Arabidopsis thaliana: one gene and its partners. The protein of the gene in region 3 interacts with the protein of the main gene of each other region in a pairwise test. Each region holds a gene or a part of one and is shown on either strand. Other genes may lie near its edges.

The links.
Region 1: the proteins of bZIP7 (region 3) and CRF11 interact in a two-hybrid assay, tested with the Arabidopsis thaliana proteins (one large-scale study listed by BioGRID).
Region 2: the proteins of bZIP7 (region 3) and WRKY7 interact in a two-hybrid assay, tested with the Arabidopsis thaliana proteins (one large-scale study listed by BioGRID).

The regions. Positions count from the first base shown.
Region 1 is NC_003074.8:9,472,540-9,478,452, reverse strand, and holds CRF11 (Integrase-type DNA-binding superfamily protein), read right to left. Parts: upstream 3,042-5,913; 5' UTR 2,635-3,041; exon of another isoform or gene 2,535-2,634; 5' UTR 2,402-2,534; coding exon 1,403-2,401; 3' UTR 863-1,402; downstream 1-862.
Region 2 is NC_003075.7:12,568,602-12,574,635, reverse strand, and holds WRKY7 (WRKY DNA-binding protein 7), read right to left. Parts: upstream 3,099-6,034; 5' UTR 2,707-3,098; coding exon 1,931-2,706; intron 1,829-1,930; coding exon 1,703-1,828; coding exon of another isoform or gene 1,699-1,702; exon of another isoform or gene 1,350-1,698; coding exon 1,190-1,349; 3' UTR 863-1,189; downstream 1-862. Other genes in the region: AT4G24231 (uncharacterized protein), read right to left, coding at 5,612-5,761; ACBP3 (acyl-CoA-binding domain 3), read left to right, coding at 5,882-6,034. UniProt on the Arabidopsis thaliana protein: Transcription factor. Interacts specifically with the W box (5'-(T)TGAC[CT]-3'), a frequently occurring elicitor-responsive cis-acting element.
Region 3 is NC_003075.7:17,720,956-17,725,976, reverse strand, and holds bZIP7 (basic leucine-zipper 7), read right to left. Parts: upstream 2,339-5,021; 5' UTR 2,178-2,338; coding exon 1,260-2,177; 3' UTR 940-1,259; downstream 1-939. Other genes in the region: GRF2 (growth-regulating factor 2), read left to right, coding at 1-444.

The DNA of each region.
Region 1 (5,913 bases), on a different chromosome or scaffold from region 3:
TTTTTTTTCCATCAAATGGTGCAACATATTTAGTTGTATAATGGACGTGTTTAAGATTCTTCATAAGATGCTAAATATTACCAAATGACTAATCCAGAATAACTATGTAATTGATTGCTTGATCGTAAGTAAACCCCTTTGTCCAAAAAAAAACCATGGAAGTAAACCCAATTTTTATTTCAGATCATTAGAAATCACTAATTTCCACGTTTTTGATAAAAAAAAAGCTCCATCGAATGAGAATGACACTTGATAAAAAACCAAATTGTATACATCGACTTCGAGCATGTCAAATCTCCAATCTCCAAAGAAAAGTACAAGTCTTAAAATCTCAAATCAATTATTCTTAAGACTTCAATTTATTTTCTGTCAACATCTTAAGAATTCAATTAACAAAAAAACAAAAACATCTTAGAATTCATTTTAATTTGTTGAAAAAACAAAAACAAAATGAATATGCACGTTCAATTCAATGTATATCCATAATTCTGTTCACTAAAACGAAACTAATAAAATCCAAAAGCAGCTACAGTCTGAAGTTGAGAGATGGCTTGACACAAAAGAACACACCACTATATACTCTTTATATCAAAGATGGAACTAGTTGAAAATTTTGGCAAGACTTGTAATATACGCAAAGGTTGCTTTAAGAAAATTAGATCAAATATTAAATATTATAAAAGAAATGGTTTAAGAACCAACGCAATTAGAGCGGTGATAATTTGTCCTACTGTTATCATCAACCAAACCCATTAACCTCTCTATCTTGCATTATGTGTTTTTGTTCACATAACTTTTAAAGAAAACTTTACTGATATAATGCAAAAAGAGGATAAGCCTAAACCCTAACTCTATAGGTAGTGATTGCAGAGAACAAACGGTTTATCTAGTTATCTTCATGTCTGACTGAATCAACCCGAAAGAAACAGCAATCAAACATTGGTAACAATGACTTAACAAGAGCAGAGGACGAAACCATCAACAATGTATGTAGCACAAAACAAATAAAGTAGGTCTCACATATGTATCAATAACTCAACAGGCAAAACTTACAAAGATTGAGAGAGCTTACGAATTAGAAAACATCTAAAGGCTTTTCAAAGACAATCCTCATATAGAAAAAAACCCTAAATGAGAAACAATTGCCTTCAAAAAAAACCACCTGAGATTTACAATTTCGATCACACCTCTCTATCTTCTCCACAACATCAAAACCATTATGTCAACAAAACTTTCTTTAGTAACACCAACACACAAAACTGCATCTGCTTCTATCTTTAGGGTTTTTGCTTCCCTTGAGATTAACTGCCTCTGCTATACTTTAATAACTTAAGACAAAACCGAGTAACAACGAGCTTTTTACGTTGCTCCTATAGCTAATAATAACACCTAGCTGCAAAACTTATGGGCACGCGATATTAAGAGGAGTGGGAGTAGTTGTTGCGATATGATCAACGAAAGCATACTTGTCAATGGTGGTTCCAATGAGACCAAGATCGATCTCCACATCTGAGAAATCATAGTCTGGAAGTTCGCTTGGACCGTCACATTCAAGACCAATGATGTCCAGATCATCTATGCCACAGTAATCATCCAACATTTGGTTGTTGTTCTCTTCTGTTAAGAGAAAATCAAGCTCACAAGCATTTGGGATGAATGAGTCATCAATGAAGCAACCCATTTCAGGAATCTGTAGATCTGCAAAGTCGAAATCAAAACTCGCTTTCTTCGATTCACCAGCTTGTTGATCAAGAGTCGAATCAACTAGCTTCTTGTCAAGATCAATGCTTGACCCTGAGGCTGAGATCATAGAACCAGACTCATTTGACAAAACAGAGGAAGCAGCAGAAGTGGCTGCAGCCAGAGCATCAAACTCAAGCTTCTTGGTAGCATAAGCATCAGCTGCTTGTTCAAGCGTCTCGTAAGTACCCAACCAAGTTCTTACTTTGGTGATTGGATGTCTAATCTCAGCAGCCCATTTACCCCATTTCCTCTGCCTAACACCAACAGGCTTCGAGACAGTAGTAGAAGAACGTCCAACGACCGGAGATGCTTTGCTGCGTAAAACCTTTTTGCTACAAGCTGAGATTTTAGTCTTGCTTACACCATTATTGTTACTCTCCTGACAATATGAGCTTTCAGATTCTGCTTGAGTAGCAGCTTGAGCGAAAGGAAGATCGATCTCACAGACATAACGTTTCCTTCTCTGACTCCTTTCTTCTTCTTCGCTTGATGAGTAGTCAGTAGCGTAAGGATCATTCACAACGAAACGGAGTTTTCTCATAGTCTTCAAATCTTCAGATAAACCTGGGAGGTGATTTAGCTGAAAAGGTTTCTTCTTCATGGGTTTTTTGTTGGGTTTATTGGTTTGAATAGAAGAGCGTTTCTTTCGTTCAGCCATTTTATCGAACACTTGGTGTGCGAAATTCAAAACCAAACCCCCTTAAACCCTAAAAAACCTCTCAAAATTCCCAGAAAAGCCTCAAAATGAACTCTCTCAAGAACAAGAAAAGTCCTTTACCCCAGAACAAGTCCTGTTTCAATAACCAGCAAAAACACAACAACCCACTTCAGATTCGAACAGAGAAACTATAAAAACCATTCAAAGTAACAAACTTTAGCAAACCCAGTTACCTTTTAGGTCTTAAACGCATGGAAATCGATGAAACTGTGAGAAATCAATCACTGAGAGAGCTAGTAGATGTAGCTTGATGAACGAGAAAAACAGAGCAGAAAGCGATTAAGAAGACGAAGAAGGAAGAAGAAGAGAGAGAAGCGTAGAGTCAAAGACAGAGCTCCGGTTAAACAAATTATTCCGGCGACTTCAAAGATCCTTTTCTCTCTCACACTCCTCTCAGCTCTTCGAGCTTCCCAAAAGTGAAAAAGAAAAGTGAGAAGATAAAAGATTCAAAAAGAGGAAGAAGAAGAAGAAGAAGAAGATAAAGTAAAGAATCAAAACGAATCGAAAACAGATGACAAATCTATGGCCAAGATTTTTCTGCCTCTCTATTACCAAAGACAAAACTTTTAATTTATGTCGGAAAAATAAAAGAAAGTTATGTAACTGGTAAATTTAAGAGACCGAGGAATTTAAAAAGATGTTAAAAATCTTTTAAGAAACGATTGTTCAAACACAGATCTCAATAAAAATTTATTAAAGCATTAAAAGAAAGAAAAAAAACGAAGATGGGAAATTAAATTCGTTTTTTATTAGCATTTGGTTTTTTTTTTTTGGACAGTTTTATTTCATTTTTTCGGTTAAGATTGGTGAAAATAGTTTTACAATAGGGATAAGGAAAATGTTTTTTAAATTATCACTTTATCATTTTCGTTGGTTTAAAGTATGAATTTTGGATCTTGTGAATTAAATTCTTAATTTGATGTTGATTTTCAATTTAATTACAAATTCTCGTTGACTAAGCCAATTGAGACACAATTTTTTTTCCCGGTATCGTCAATCGACCTAAAGATGAAAGATTACTTTGAATTCGAATAAGAAGAGAAATTCCAAAGAAGATAAGAGATTCTGAAGAAAAATAGAGAAAAACTCAAAAATTTTAATTAGAAAATTTTTTAACGATGTGTCTTAATTGGCTTAGTTAACGAGAATTCGTGATTAAATTAAACGTCAACATAAAATTGAGGATTTAAATCACCAAATCGAGAGTTTATGTTTTAAACCAACGAAAATGGTAAAGTGATGATTTAAATGACATTTTTCCCTTTTACAATATGGTAATAAAACATACTATTTTTGGAATTATATTATGGATATATGGTAAATAAATTTAGTTTGTGAAAGGAATAATACTTTGTATCGAACAAGTTATTATTGTATTGTAATACATTATTCATGAAATTTACTTCTCACTGTTACTGCACTGTGGGTCTTTTAGCTAAGTGAAGTAATAGAATTTTATTTTATTAATAGTATTAAACTACAATAACATATATATTCGTTTTTTAATTAAAAATAAATAAAAGAGAGTGACTAGTAACTACTCCTTCATTGTTTAGTGAATTATTCATATTATTTGATGTGATGTATACTTGTATTCTATAGTAATTTAACTCATTCTCCCAAATTGACTCTTAAACAAAAACATCAATTATAGATTCTGATAATTTTTTCGGCATTCAACAAAAATATCTTACAAAAGATCGACGAGTATAATTCAATACCATTAATTAACATAACAATTTGTGAGGTTAATTAATTACATTAGAGGTAGTTTACTTTGCAGTATCTTGATTGTGCTAAAGAAGAACAATTTCGAACGTGGAGGATTGTTCCATCCCCACATTTGCTAGTTGCTACCAACCGAGGGACTTTTCATCATAATTTACAAGTCTTCTTCCCATCTTTAGTGGGTATAAATAAATACAATTTTTTTTTTTTTTTTTTTTGTGCACCAAATAAATACAATGTTAATGAGAATAATTCACAACTCAAAACGTTTTTGAATAACTCTGTTTTATTTTTTCCACACTCAAGCATTTCATGAAGTCAATGGTCTCTTTTTGGGTCAACTAAGTCAGTGCTTAAGTTAAGTTACTCTGTAATATTCCGTAACATAACATGATCATGATCACTCTAATAACTTGCAAAATCATTTAAGTTCGGTCCGATTTGAACCGATCAATTTAAACTTGTATTTTAGAGGTTAAGCTCATCCATTATTTGATATCTTACACCATGAACGAACATTTGGTTAACCTAAAGAACACAAAATAAAATAAAAATTTCTAACATTTTTTGCTCGATTCTATTTGGTTTCGGTCCTAATAGTTTTGAAACAACTTAAAACAGGTCGCTTCCAGATTAATCCAAAAAGTTAACATCTCTAGATTAAAATTTATATATCAACTTCAAATTTTATGATTTTTTTGTAAGGTTCATTACGATTCGATCGATTAAAAATTTAAAACATTTTTTACTAAAGAAATACCAAAAAAATATTGAAAGTGTCATTTTCTTTCAATTCCATAAAACGAAAGGAACTCCTAATTTCCAAAATTTTGTTTATTCCACAGCTTTTTTAACATATCGCTCGCATTGCCACATTGGTCCAGACCTACTCCCCTTTTTATTTACAAGATTGCCACTTTAAAGAGTTGGATAATTAATTTAGTTTAAACTAAACATTTTTCTGCAACAATATAGTAGGAAAACAAAAAGCTAGAAGAAAAAAGAAAACAGTGAACGCACGCCTGAATGCATGTGATTGCCTACCCTACGTGAAGAAAAGACGATGCAATTACAGAAGTAAGAAAAACATTTTCTCCACCAATATACAATGACCCTTACTAATTATTACTATTTCAACAAAACGTTTCCTACGTAAGGAAGGCAACAGATTCATTTGATGTCATTTTTCAACGACAATAGACAAAAAAAAAGTAAAGCAATAATAAAGTAAAGTTGTACACTACATATATACTTTTTAAAAATTGTTGAAACACAAAATGTGTGCAAATTTATAACAGTGTATACAAAATGGATGTTCAACTACGTCAAAGACTATTCATGAAGAAAAACGGTCGTGACAAAATTTAGACAAATTAACAATATATTAAATAAAAACTTTTAAAATAATTTTAGTATTACAGAAACATTATTAGATAAATTCGCAATATTTTTGTTCTATTGAAAGAAAAACAAAAAAGAAAGAGTAAGGGATCATTACATTGATTTCACACATACAAGTGTCGGATTATCAGTGTCACGTGGTGTTTAAAATGTAGACATTTCACCATGTGGACTAATACATTCATAAATAATGCAGCCATCGACGACGACCATCAAGCAATTTTTATATGTGGAAAGTTTTTTCAAAAATTATTAGTAAGTGGACACGTCAGACAAAACAGAGAGTTGAAAAAAAAAAAACATAAGTGTAGAGAGAGCGAAAG
Region 2 (6,034 bases), 5.2 Mb from region 3:
AAATTTTATATTTTAACAATAACAAATTACTCGAACTCATTGTCATTTTTCAATTTAATACTTAAAACGATTTGTAGACGTTATAGAATTTCTAAAAAGGTCGTTAACTTTGTAAGGGAGAAAAATACTAAATAACATTGCATTTGAACGTTTTCTTTTACTAATCTCTAAAATAAAATAAAAAATATGGAATGCTTTTTTTTTTTTTTGACTAAGTGAATGACTTTTTAAATTCTATTAATGGATATGTTGTAAAATACTCTTTTTGTATCACTTTAAGTGATGTTTAAAGGTTTTATACACAAATTAAGAAAACACATAATTTGTGTATCACTTTAATCCTACCTCTTTTACATATAATACAATTAAACAAATTTTAACTAATTAGATAACATACTCTAAAATATGATTGGTCTAAAAAATTTTAAAACATCTTTTTAAAAAAAGTCTCTAAAACATCACTTAAAAGTGATATTGAAGAGTTATAACGCAATGATGCATGAATAGCTGATTTTCTTGGTAACAAAATTTTGTAGTAAAGCTTTAAATTTTTTACTAAATGTTGAAGTACTTTACACTTGAATTTATAGCCGTTAACATAATCATAAACATTGTCAACTTTGTTGGAAAAAACACACTTAAAAGGATAACGACATTGCATCTGAGGTTTTTCACTAATGCTGAAATAAATACTTATTAGAGCTACTTATTATTTGATCGACAACTTTTCTAGTTTCTATAAACGTGTGTTAAGTTGATTTGACTATGTAATCTACAAATAGTTCTTTTTTTTTTTGTTTAACGAAATTTGAATTGCAATTTTTTCCAATTACCAGCATAGCATTATGGTCAGTTGAATCTAAATTAACTGATAATTTCCCTAAAAACTCAAATAGTTCTGCAAGTAAGAAAAGAATCAGAGATTTGACAAAAATAGTGCACTAAATATATATTATCCTAGAAATAAATAAACAGAAAAGGACATTCACATGATTCAACTTCCATCAAGATCCACAACGTTCCTCTCTCGTCTTTATCTCCCCTCCCTCTATTTCCTCCAATCAAAAAGAAAGATAAAGCAAAAGCTTTTCAAAAAGAAAAGAATAAAAAAGTGCAGTGCGGGCCCACTCTGTCGTTGACTAATCTGGATAGTGGTCACACACAGACAGTTCCCCTCAAACTCGAGAAACTAAAGAGTTTTGTCATGATTCATCGTCGTCGTCTCGAGAACCAAAGCATGGTTGTGGTCTCCTTCGTACGTCACGATTAGCATCATCGCATCATCTAGTGCACGCTCCACATGCTTACGCGCCGGACAACCTCTTACACTGCTGCACTTGTAATATCCCCTGTCATAACCATTACACCGAGTCCTCCCCAGTTAGTTCGAGTTCTTATTAATTAATGAGAAAAGAAATAGTCAACTTAACTCTCGGCTTTCTATTTCAAATTTATTCTATAGGAAACAACAAGTCAAAAAGAGCGTGAAACTGAACCCACTACTGTACTACTAGACAACATGTTTGGTACAACCGATATAGAAAAAAACAATATTGACAATCTCTCTGGTACTAATATTGACAATACACAAGTTGCTTAATTTTCTAGCCAATATTTGATTTTTGGTGTTGAATCTAGTGAGTGATTGTGATGTATGTGTAGAGTATATATATCGATGGTAAAAAATGTAAAAAATAATTACCGAGGATGAGGAGAGCCTTTGATTGGTTTTTGACCATATTTTCTCCATGAAAACTCATCTGATGGTATATCAGCCATTTTGCTACTTACTGCTGGAACTCTAATCACTCTTTTTACTCTTGATTTCCTGATTTTTTTACACAAATTATAATTAACGTTTTATTAATCAAATCTCAAGATTTAGATCTAAAATAAGATTAATTTTTAATAATAGAAGTTGAATCAAAACCTTTTCTTGGAGCAATGGCAACGGCTTGAGGGAGATGAATTACATCTTCTCTTCAACGAAGCTGATGATAAAGGAGGTTTACCTCTCGAACCAGAGAGCTGAGATGGGTTAGTGAACTCGAATCCTGATGACATGTGAGTACTATCGGTGTCACATCTATGAGAAGACATGAATGAGTTCGTCGCTGAGACTGGTGGTGACGGCGCAAAGTTTATCGTTGACGGTGCTCCGTTTGCGAGCATCGGAGGAGATGAAGAAGACGAACCGTTCTTTGTTTGATTCTGATTGTTGTTGTTATTGTGTGATAGAGGAGGACGACGATGAATTGGTGTTGGACAATAAACTCTAAACGCAGATCCACCACCGTGATATTGCTCTGTTTTCTGTTTTGTTAACACGGAGCTTGTTTCTGGCTTCTTCTCCTCCACCTCCACCTCCTCCTCAACCACCGGCGTTTGCTTAAACGGCGTTTGCGTTGACGCGGGAGCTCGTCTGAATCTAGCGTGTCCGGTTCTAGATCTACCGAGTAGAGAAATGACCTTCTTGAAGCTGTTAACGGCGACGTCAGTCACCGCGGTTATCTCCGTCTGACTCTTCTCCGTTGGTTGTTGACTTTGACCGATCAGTTTAAGAAACTCCTCCACACCGTGAATCCCTGCAGAAGCAGCTTCTCTCAAAGCGGTATCTTCCATTTTCGCCGCCGCGGCGATTGCAGGAAAACCATCACCTCCTCCTCCGCCGCCGCTGTAGCTGCTCATCATCAGCTCAACAGTCATCTCATCAAATCAGAGACCAACCACTCAGATTCTTATTAAAGGTCAAAGGAGATGTAAATAAATACAAAGATTCAACAGTTTTCTTGTAAGTTGTGTTTTTGGTTAAAGAAGAAGATGATGATGATGATGAGGGGAAGAATAAATGAAGAGAGTGAAAAAGGGGGAGAGTCAACGATATGCGTTTCTCTCTCTATATCTTTAGGTATGTGTTGATAGTGCATCAGTCAAATCGACCACCACTCATAGGCTTACACGTGTGATCATTTGTCAAGCGTTTTGACACTCCTCAGCGTCAATGATTTTAAATTTGGAGCAAGTGGAGCTCGAATTATATATATATTCGTTATTATTATTCGAGAAAAATCTAAGATATTTTATATTTTTGAGGCTGATTAGATGCTAAAAATATAAAAATTAAATTTTTAATTAAAGAAAGATCTAAAAGGAGGAAGGTCTCTCTCTTCTCTCTATAGTATTTTTCAGAGAAAGATTTTTCCGATGTAAGTTTAGAATCGCCGTCCGGGTTTCTTCCGGTTTCCGTTATCTGGATTTTTTCCGGCTATTATCTCCCGTTGATCGGGATTTAGATTTCTTTTTGGGCAATTTTGAATTCGGTTTCTTCGGATTTGTTTTTGTTTTGTAGCTTTAAAATCTTGATGATGAAACATTATGACAGGCAGAATCTTCAGTTCCGAAGAGGTGTTCTCTTCGCATGATTTAGTTTCTTTCTGCTTTGATTGGCTTCACCGTTGGGTTCTGTTTTTTTTGGCTCCAACAGTTTTCCGGCGATGTGTGCGTTCTCGACAATTAGGTTCGTTTGGATCTACTGTGTTTAAGACAGTTTCAATTTCTCCACGACTAAGGTTAGGTCAAAGCTCGTTTCCTATGCAATTAAGATATGCCTTTGTTGTTCTTGCAAGAGATTTAATTGTTAGACAAGTTTGAACTACTCAGTTTTCTCTAATTTCTTTTACCCATTTTTGCCGAATCCTTTGTGATTCTTGCAATCGGATGAGATTAGGAGATTGATGTTTGTTCTGTAACTTTTAATTGGTGATAAAAAAGAAGTCTCGTTGACCGGTGATTTTCCAACGACGTTTCTGATTCACCAGGCTTGAGTCTCATGTGCAGTGGAGGTTAGGCCTGGGCACGAAGCGAATATCCGGAAAATTTGGGATATTTGTTATTCGATTCGTTTTAATCGAATACTTAATTTTATTATTTGCTTTGATCCGAAAATTTCCAAATATCCGAAAATACGAATATCCGGATTTTTGTATGATATTTGTCGGATATCCGCTTTGCTTTGCTACATCCAAATATTTTTTTATATAAATTATTTAACATAGATTTCAAATTTCTTACCTTATGACTTACGAGTGTGAGATTGAGAGCAACTGAAAATTTTCTGGTTATAAATTCTGTAACCAAATTGAGTGATAAAAATAGTGAAAGGTCGAAGAAAGGAAACAGAAATGTCGCTCTTATATTTGATGGATTGGAAAGTAAAACGACAATTTTAGGATAAAATATAAAAAATAAAACAATTTTATTTTAAAAAATTCCACTTCTCTAATAAAAACTGTGTCACAAAAAAAACACAGGCCCAAAGGATACAAATACAAGCCCAAATCCCAACATATACAAATGCACAACCTATATTGTGATATATATATATATATATATATATAGATCGAAGCGAATATCCGACTTTAGAAAAAATAGTATTTGTTATTTGCTTCGGTTTTTACGATTACTACATTTTTCTATTTGCTTTGCTCCAAAATCTTACGAATATTCGGATTTTTCGAATCAAATCAAATCGAATATTGAGTTAAAGCGGATCGAACGAATATTTTGTCCAGGACTAGTGAAGGTTGTGGACGTTCCACGTGTCCCTAGCTTATTATTATTGGTCTGACACGTCTATAGCTTATCTCTTCTTTTGTGTCGTATGAGCCTTTATATGTGGGATGTCTTGGGCTTTATTTTGGTTTTCTCATAACCAAGCATTGTACTGGTAATGATAAAATGAATAAAATATTACACTTATGAGAAAAAAAAAAAAAAAAAGATGCTAAAAATATTACATATTTATGCAGAATATAGAATAAATCACACATACTGATTTAATAAATGCTCTATCAACTCTGATATATAAGGAGATTTTGAAAAGAAAAAAACAAAGAGGAGACTTTTGTTGTGCGACAGTGATTTTAGTAATTTTGGCAAAGTTAAGTTTGCCTTTCTTTGTTTGGTAAAGTCGTTAGGGAAAGAAACAAAAACTTTTTATTAGTGAAAACCTCGTTAGACTGATTTTTAAGTTTCTTCGTGAAGTGTGTTGTTACCCATTTATCAAGTTTTTTTTAACCGTAGTTGAGCAAATAAGGACGAGTGTCATGATTGTGGTTCCGTCACAAACTTATCGACTGGGTTTGGCCATGTAGGTGAATAGGTAGGAAGACATGGGCCTTAGTCTTATCATATTATGCATTAACATAGGCCCATGTTTTGTTTGTAAAGGCCCAAATAAACTATGAACTGTCCTTGCATATTACCTCAAAAACCTTTAATCTCTCTTTTGGTCTTGTTTTCTATTTCCATTTCTATACCATTCAAAACTATAACTTAATTTCAGCATCATTAAAGCTTGGAATGGGAGTAATTTTCAATGAGCTGGTTTTTGTTATTTCAAAAAAACTCACTAAACATCCAATCAAAATTAAGGAAATTAGTTTTCATAAAAGTGTGTTTTTTAAAAGCCAGATTTTTATCATACGAAAATCCAAAAAAAAAAAAAAAAAAAAAATTAAAAAAACTCTTCCAATCATTATTTTAGTTTGTAAAGAGTCCAAAGACAAAGATCCAGTGAGAGCAAAAAAAAAAGCGGCGCGCTGCATAAGGATTAAGGAAGGAGCCGGTGAGGTGGAGAAGAGGATAAGAATAAAACCGCAAGAGCCAAGTCAGCAGTCATAGCGGTTAGGCGTTGAGAAAATATAATTGACGGACCCGCTTCCCGTTTAAAGCCGAATATGCTTTCTTCTTTGTCTCTCATTTATTCCTTTTTCCTTTCCTTCTTTTCTAACCTTTCGTATAATTACATTCTTTGCCTTTCTCCTTCTTCTTCTTTAGATCCTAAGTATCTTACTTTCCTTTTTCATCATCTTCTTCGATCATGGAGGTTTTCTTAGAGATGCTTCTCACGGCGGTTGTTGCTCTCTTGTTTTCTTTCCTTTTGGCCAAGCTCGTTTCTGTTGCTACGGTGGAGAACGATTTGAGTTCTGATCAGCCGCTCAAGCCCGAGATCGGTGTCGGTGTTACAGAGGAT
Region 3 (5,021 bases):
CAAGAGAAGCATTCAGGGAATCACAATCACAATTCTTGGCCTGAAGAGCTGACATCAGATTGGACACAGCTCTCAATGTCAATTCCAATAGCATCATCATCCCCTTCCTCCACACACAACAACAACAATGCTCAAGAAAAAACAACACTCTCGCCTCTCAGGCTATCCCGCGAGCTTGACCTATCGATCCAAACCGATGAAACAACAATCGAGCCTACTGTGAAAAAGGTGAATACTTGGATACCAATCTCATGGGGAAACTCCTTAGGAGGTCCTCTAGGTGAAGTACTAAACAGTACAACGAATAGTCCAACATTTGGATCTTCTCCTACAGGGGTTTTGCAAAAGTCCACATTTTGTTCACTCTCTAACAACAGCTCCGTGAGCAGCCCCATTGCAGAGAACAACAGACACAATGGCGATTACTTTCATTACACAACCTGAAAACTGAAACCAAGTCCTGCGGCAGGAAACAAAAAAAGAAAAGCTCTGTTTTTTCTCTTTCATTATGTTCTGTTTCGTCTTTCTAAAGCTTAAAGAGGAAATTAGAAAATCGTTGTTCTTCTGATTCTTTCTTCGTTTCCGATTTCTGAATCATTTGTTTGATAATCACTTCATATAATCACAATCTTTATTCTAATTGTTCAGTTACAAACTAGGGTTTATCTTTGCTCTTTCATCAAGGGAAAACTTTTAGGGTCGTAACAAAAATGGACTTGAGGACCTAAATTATTGTTGGGCTTTATGTTCCAAAACTTTATTTGGGCCGAGATAGGCATTTTAACGATTAAGATATATTATGTAGTGATATTACAGTATTTGGGATCGTGGCAACCGGTTTATTAGGCTTGGTTTAGTACTTTAAAATACAGTGTATCTTTTCAACAATTATGGGCGTTGTAGCATGATGTCAATGCGCATAAAGCCTTTCCAGTTTCCACTAAGTAATAATGTAAATCGTTGTATTAATTTAATAACTCTTTAAGTTATTTATCTCATACACGAGAGTGGGAAAAAGAAAACCAAAATAAAAATCTGTTTTGTTTTCCTTCTTCTCTAGTGTAGTGGAGTCACAACATATAGAAAACGAGAAAGTGGAAAGGAAAATTAGAAAACTATCATTTTCTCTTCCTAACCTTCATTTCATTTACATAGAGAGATAGAGAGACATAGCGAGAGTTTCTTTTTTGCTTTGCTTTTTTTTTTTGGTTATTGTTCTAAGTTTTTCGATATTTTTTCTTCTTAAATATTTTGATCTATCATTGAAGATGAGGGTGGTTTTGTTCAGTCATGATCATTCTCCGGTTATGTAGTTCCCATTGTTGCTGTTGTTGAAGTTGTCTAATGATCAGAATCCGACGCATCTCCGACAATCTTAGCCGGAGTATCTCTTGTTCTGTCACGAGCCGGTTATTGTCGGAATTCACTCGTTGAAGCTGGTGTAAAACTAACCGGAGTCGGTTCCCGAGCTCACGGTTTTCTAAATCCAACCGGTTTACTTGCTCTCGTAAGTTATCAATGTGACTTTGTTTACGCATTCTTGACCGTTTCGCTGATTCCCGGTTTGACTCCATCCTCTTCCTCTTCCGCTCGTCGGTCATCTCCGGTTGGATCATTTTTTTCCGGTTATGGTTATTCTCTCCCGAACCGAAATTTGTGATGGCTGTCAATTGTTTTGTGTCGTCCGAGTCCGGTTCATCTGCTTGAGAGCACGGTAGATCGTTTGATATGTCGGCGTCGTCACAACGAGGATTAATTTTGACGAAACCGGCACAAGATTCGTCAGAACCGGTTTTCATGTCATGAGAACCGGAATTAATTTTGACGGAACCAGTGTCGGATTCACCATAACAAGGACTAGGGATGGCCGGTTCAAGAGACATTTGGTCCACGAAAAAGAGATCAGAGCAATCCCATTCCCAAGGAGTGAACCCGGTTTGGAAACCCGAGAATTGATTAACCAAACCCGGTTCGGAGAATGAAAAGGCCGGTGCAGTGGACAACATAATTGCTAATAATTTTTCTAATAGAGAGATGAGAGAAATTAGAAGGGGAAAAGGGAAGAATTGCATTGTTGGAGCTTGATATTTATGGACAAACCAAGGGGTAATTTGGTCATATTTCCAAAATACGATGTAAGACCGTAGACTATACTGTATAAACAGCTTTTGAGTCATGTTGCACTATGGTGGGGTTAAAAACTTGAAAATTTTTATTTGGCAGAGCCAACTTTTGTAAAAGCAGGAAATATTGTGTAGGGCACCAATAGCTTGTTTTGGGTCCATATAACAAAAATAAATTAACAAATTTGAAAATTATGTAACCAGTAATAGCTTAGTGATGAAGAAAACAGTCCATATTTCACACGTTTTAAGAAATTCAAGAATGAGATATTTCTTTACACTCCTAGAAAAAGTTTAACTTTTCATATTGGAATTGAATACTTCATATAGTTTTCTCTCATTCTTGTTAGAAGATTCAACAAAAAAAACAAAAAATTATCAATTCCATATTATCTTCAATAAACTTATCATTTTAGTTAGTGATTAGATAAAACAAAAATTGTATGTGAACATATGCTGGTTAATTATGATATTTACAGTCAGAATAGAGTAATTTGTGGTTCTTTATGTTCACTGTTTAATAATCTTTCTTAAAGAGAAAGACAATCTTTTTTTAAAGAGAATGGCAATCTTTCTTTATTTTAGTTTTGTCAATTTCTTTTAACACGGGATGGACACACACTGGAGAGGGACTAGAATCATCGTTTCAATCAGAGAATCTAAGGAACATACTTTTCAATTAACTGAACCAAACTGGTGCTTTGCATGAGAGATGAGACCAATGCTTTTTGTAAAGAACCCTATAAGTTAACCTATGACCAAAAAGTTAAGTATATATACTTGCTTGCTACACGGAAACATTGAATATTTCGATTGCAAGGATACATCAAATGTAGAGTATTTTTAGATTAGTTTCTTCATTAGAAATATAATGTGAAAAATTCAATAATTTAATTGTTAAATCTTGAATCAAAATATATTGTTTCGTAAATAATGTTTAAATATACAACAGAAAATTAATGGAAATATAGAAAATAAATTAATTTTTATCTTAATGTTGAATTGTTTTCTCTTTGGTTAAAATGCTGCATCAATCATAATTGATTGTATAAATATATATACGGCATTACATAGCTTTTTCGCTTAATAATTTACCAATCTAAGGAAAGATAATTAATAAGGATGAAAAATGCGCCTAGACTTCTAAATCACACAATCCCTAGTACAAAATTCTGATTAAAATTAAATTTAGTATACTATAATTATATTAATTTTTAGATACCTTTACTTAGCTTATTTATGATGAGAAACAAAAAATGTGGAGCAACGGCCACATGCATTTCATATAGAATAAAGTGGAGAGGACAAAGACTTATATATATTACATATACACGTCGCTTTATTATAGCCAGATTCATGTTTTGGTTCGGTCTCATGTGAACTCAACTTTAAATGTCCAGAAAAAAAAGCTCACATCTTAGCTTTTTATATACATTAAAAAAGGTCGAGTGGAGGGACCTATTACTATTGTTAACCACTGAAAAAGTCGTATCGCAGATCGGTCGATGAGCCAGGAGCTAAGCTTGTGCCCGGCTGGTGAACCAGCTTTCAACATGGCTTATAGCAAGTTACAACAAGGTTCTGTTGAGATAATCATATACAGTTTGATATATTAGCAAAATATTTTATAGTTTGATCCTAATTAGTACAAAGTTCTTAAAGCTCGATCTATATACGTATACGAACATTTCATGCTAAGTGGTCTATTTTAACATTTGTATTTCGAAATTTTTTAAAGTTTGATACAATGATTTTTCCCTAGTGGAGTTACAAAAATCTTTATCTTAAAAAGTTTTCACCTCATTATTGTATTAAAGGAGTTCAATACACATGTCATGGGAAATGAAAAAAGTTTATAAGACGGAAAGCCCACATTTACTTGTAAATTGATGTCACAACTTTAGTTCGAATATTCATTGAGCCTTAACACGTAAATAACTCAATAATTTAAAGATTTAATGTTCTATAATAGTCTTTTTTTCGTTTGTACTCACACGCATATTTATCATATTGGAATCCGGACAGCGAACAGGGTAGCAACATTCGTACATACAAACCACTAAATTAAAACCCGCATCAATTTTTTAGAACATTTTAGAATTACATTAATTCTTCCTTTACATATCTGAAGACATACGTACATAGAATCTTTATATAACTCAAGTAATAGTCATGCGAATCATGTAGAAGACATTATTCTTTACCCTTATGCTAATTAACGAACTTCCCTTTGCTTGAGGAAACATATACCAATTTTGATGCGTATAGGTATATATTATGGATCTTGTACTATTGATGATTCATACATACAATTAAACTTACGGAAAATCCAATAAATTTTGATTTTATACCTATATTTATAAATTTTACTATATAAACTCTGAAAAAAACAATTTTTTTTTTTAAAAAGATTTAATTCTTTAAAAAAAGTTAACCACAAAAACTATCATTGAAATGTAACGGAATTCCAGTAGATCATATCTGAACAAATATTCTTAAAAATTTGTTAAAACTTCAAATACTTATTTGTAAGATTATAGTCAACTTGGTGTGTATGCTTTTCTTATATTTATGCTAATTACTTAGCCTATGGCTAGTTTAGCCCCGTTTAGGTCATATTAAATTTAAAAATCTTAAACTAAAGTCGAGGAGGAAACTTTAATAAAAAGTTTGAAGAAATTCTAAATATGACGCATGTAAAGTTTTTTAATCACTATAAAAAGAATACAGGCCATATAACGACAAAATTTGTAAATTGGGAAAACCCTAAATGAGTCTATTATTTTTGTCATGGAAAAACTTAAACGTGTCGTTTCTTTGGCAATGGATGTCCACATGCAACACTCTTGCTATTTGAATTTTCTTTGAAAAAGTCTGTCGTTTCTATGAAAATGAGTT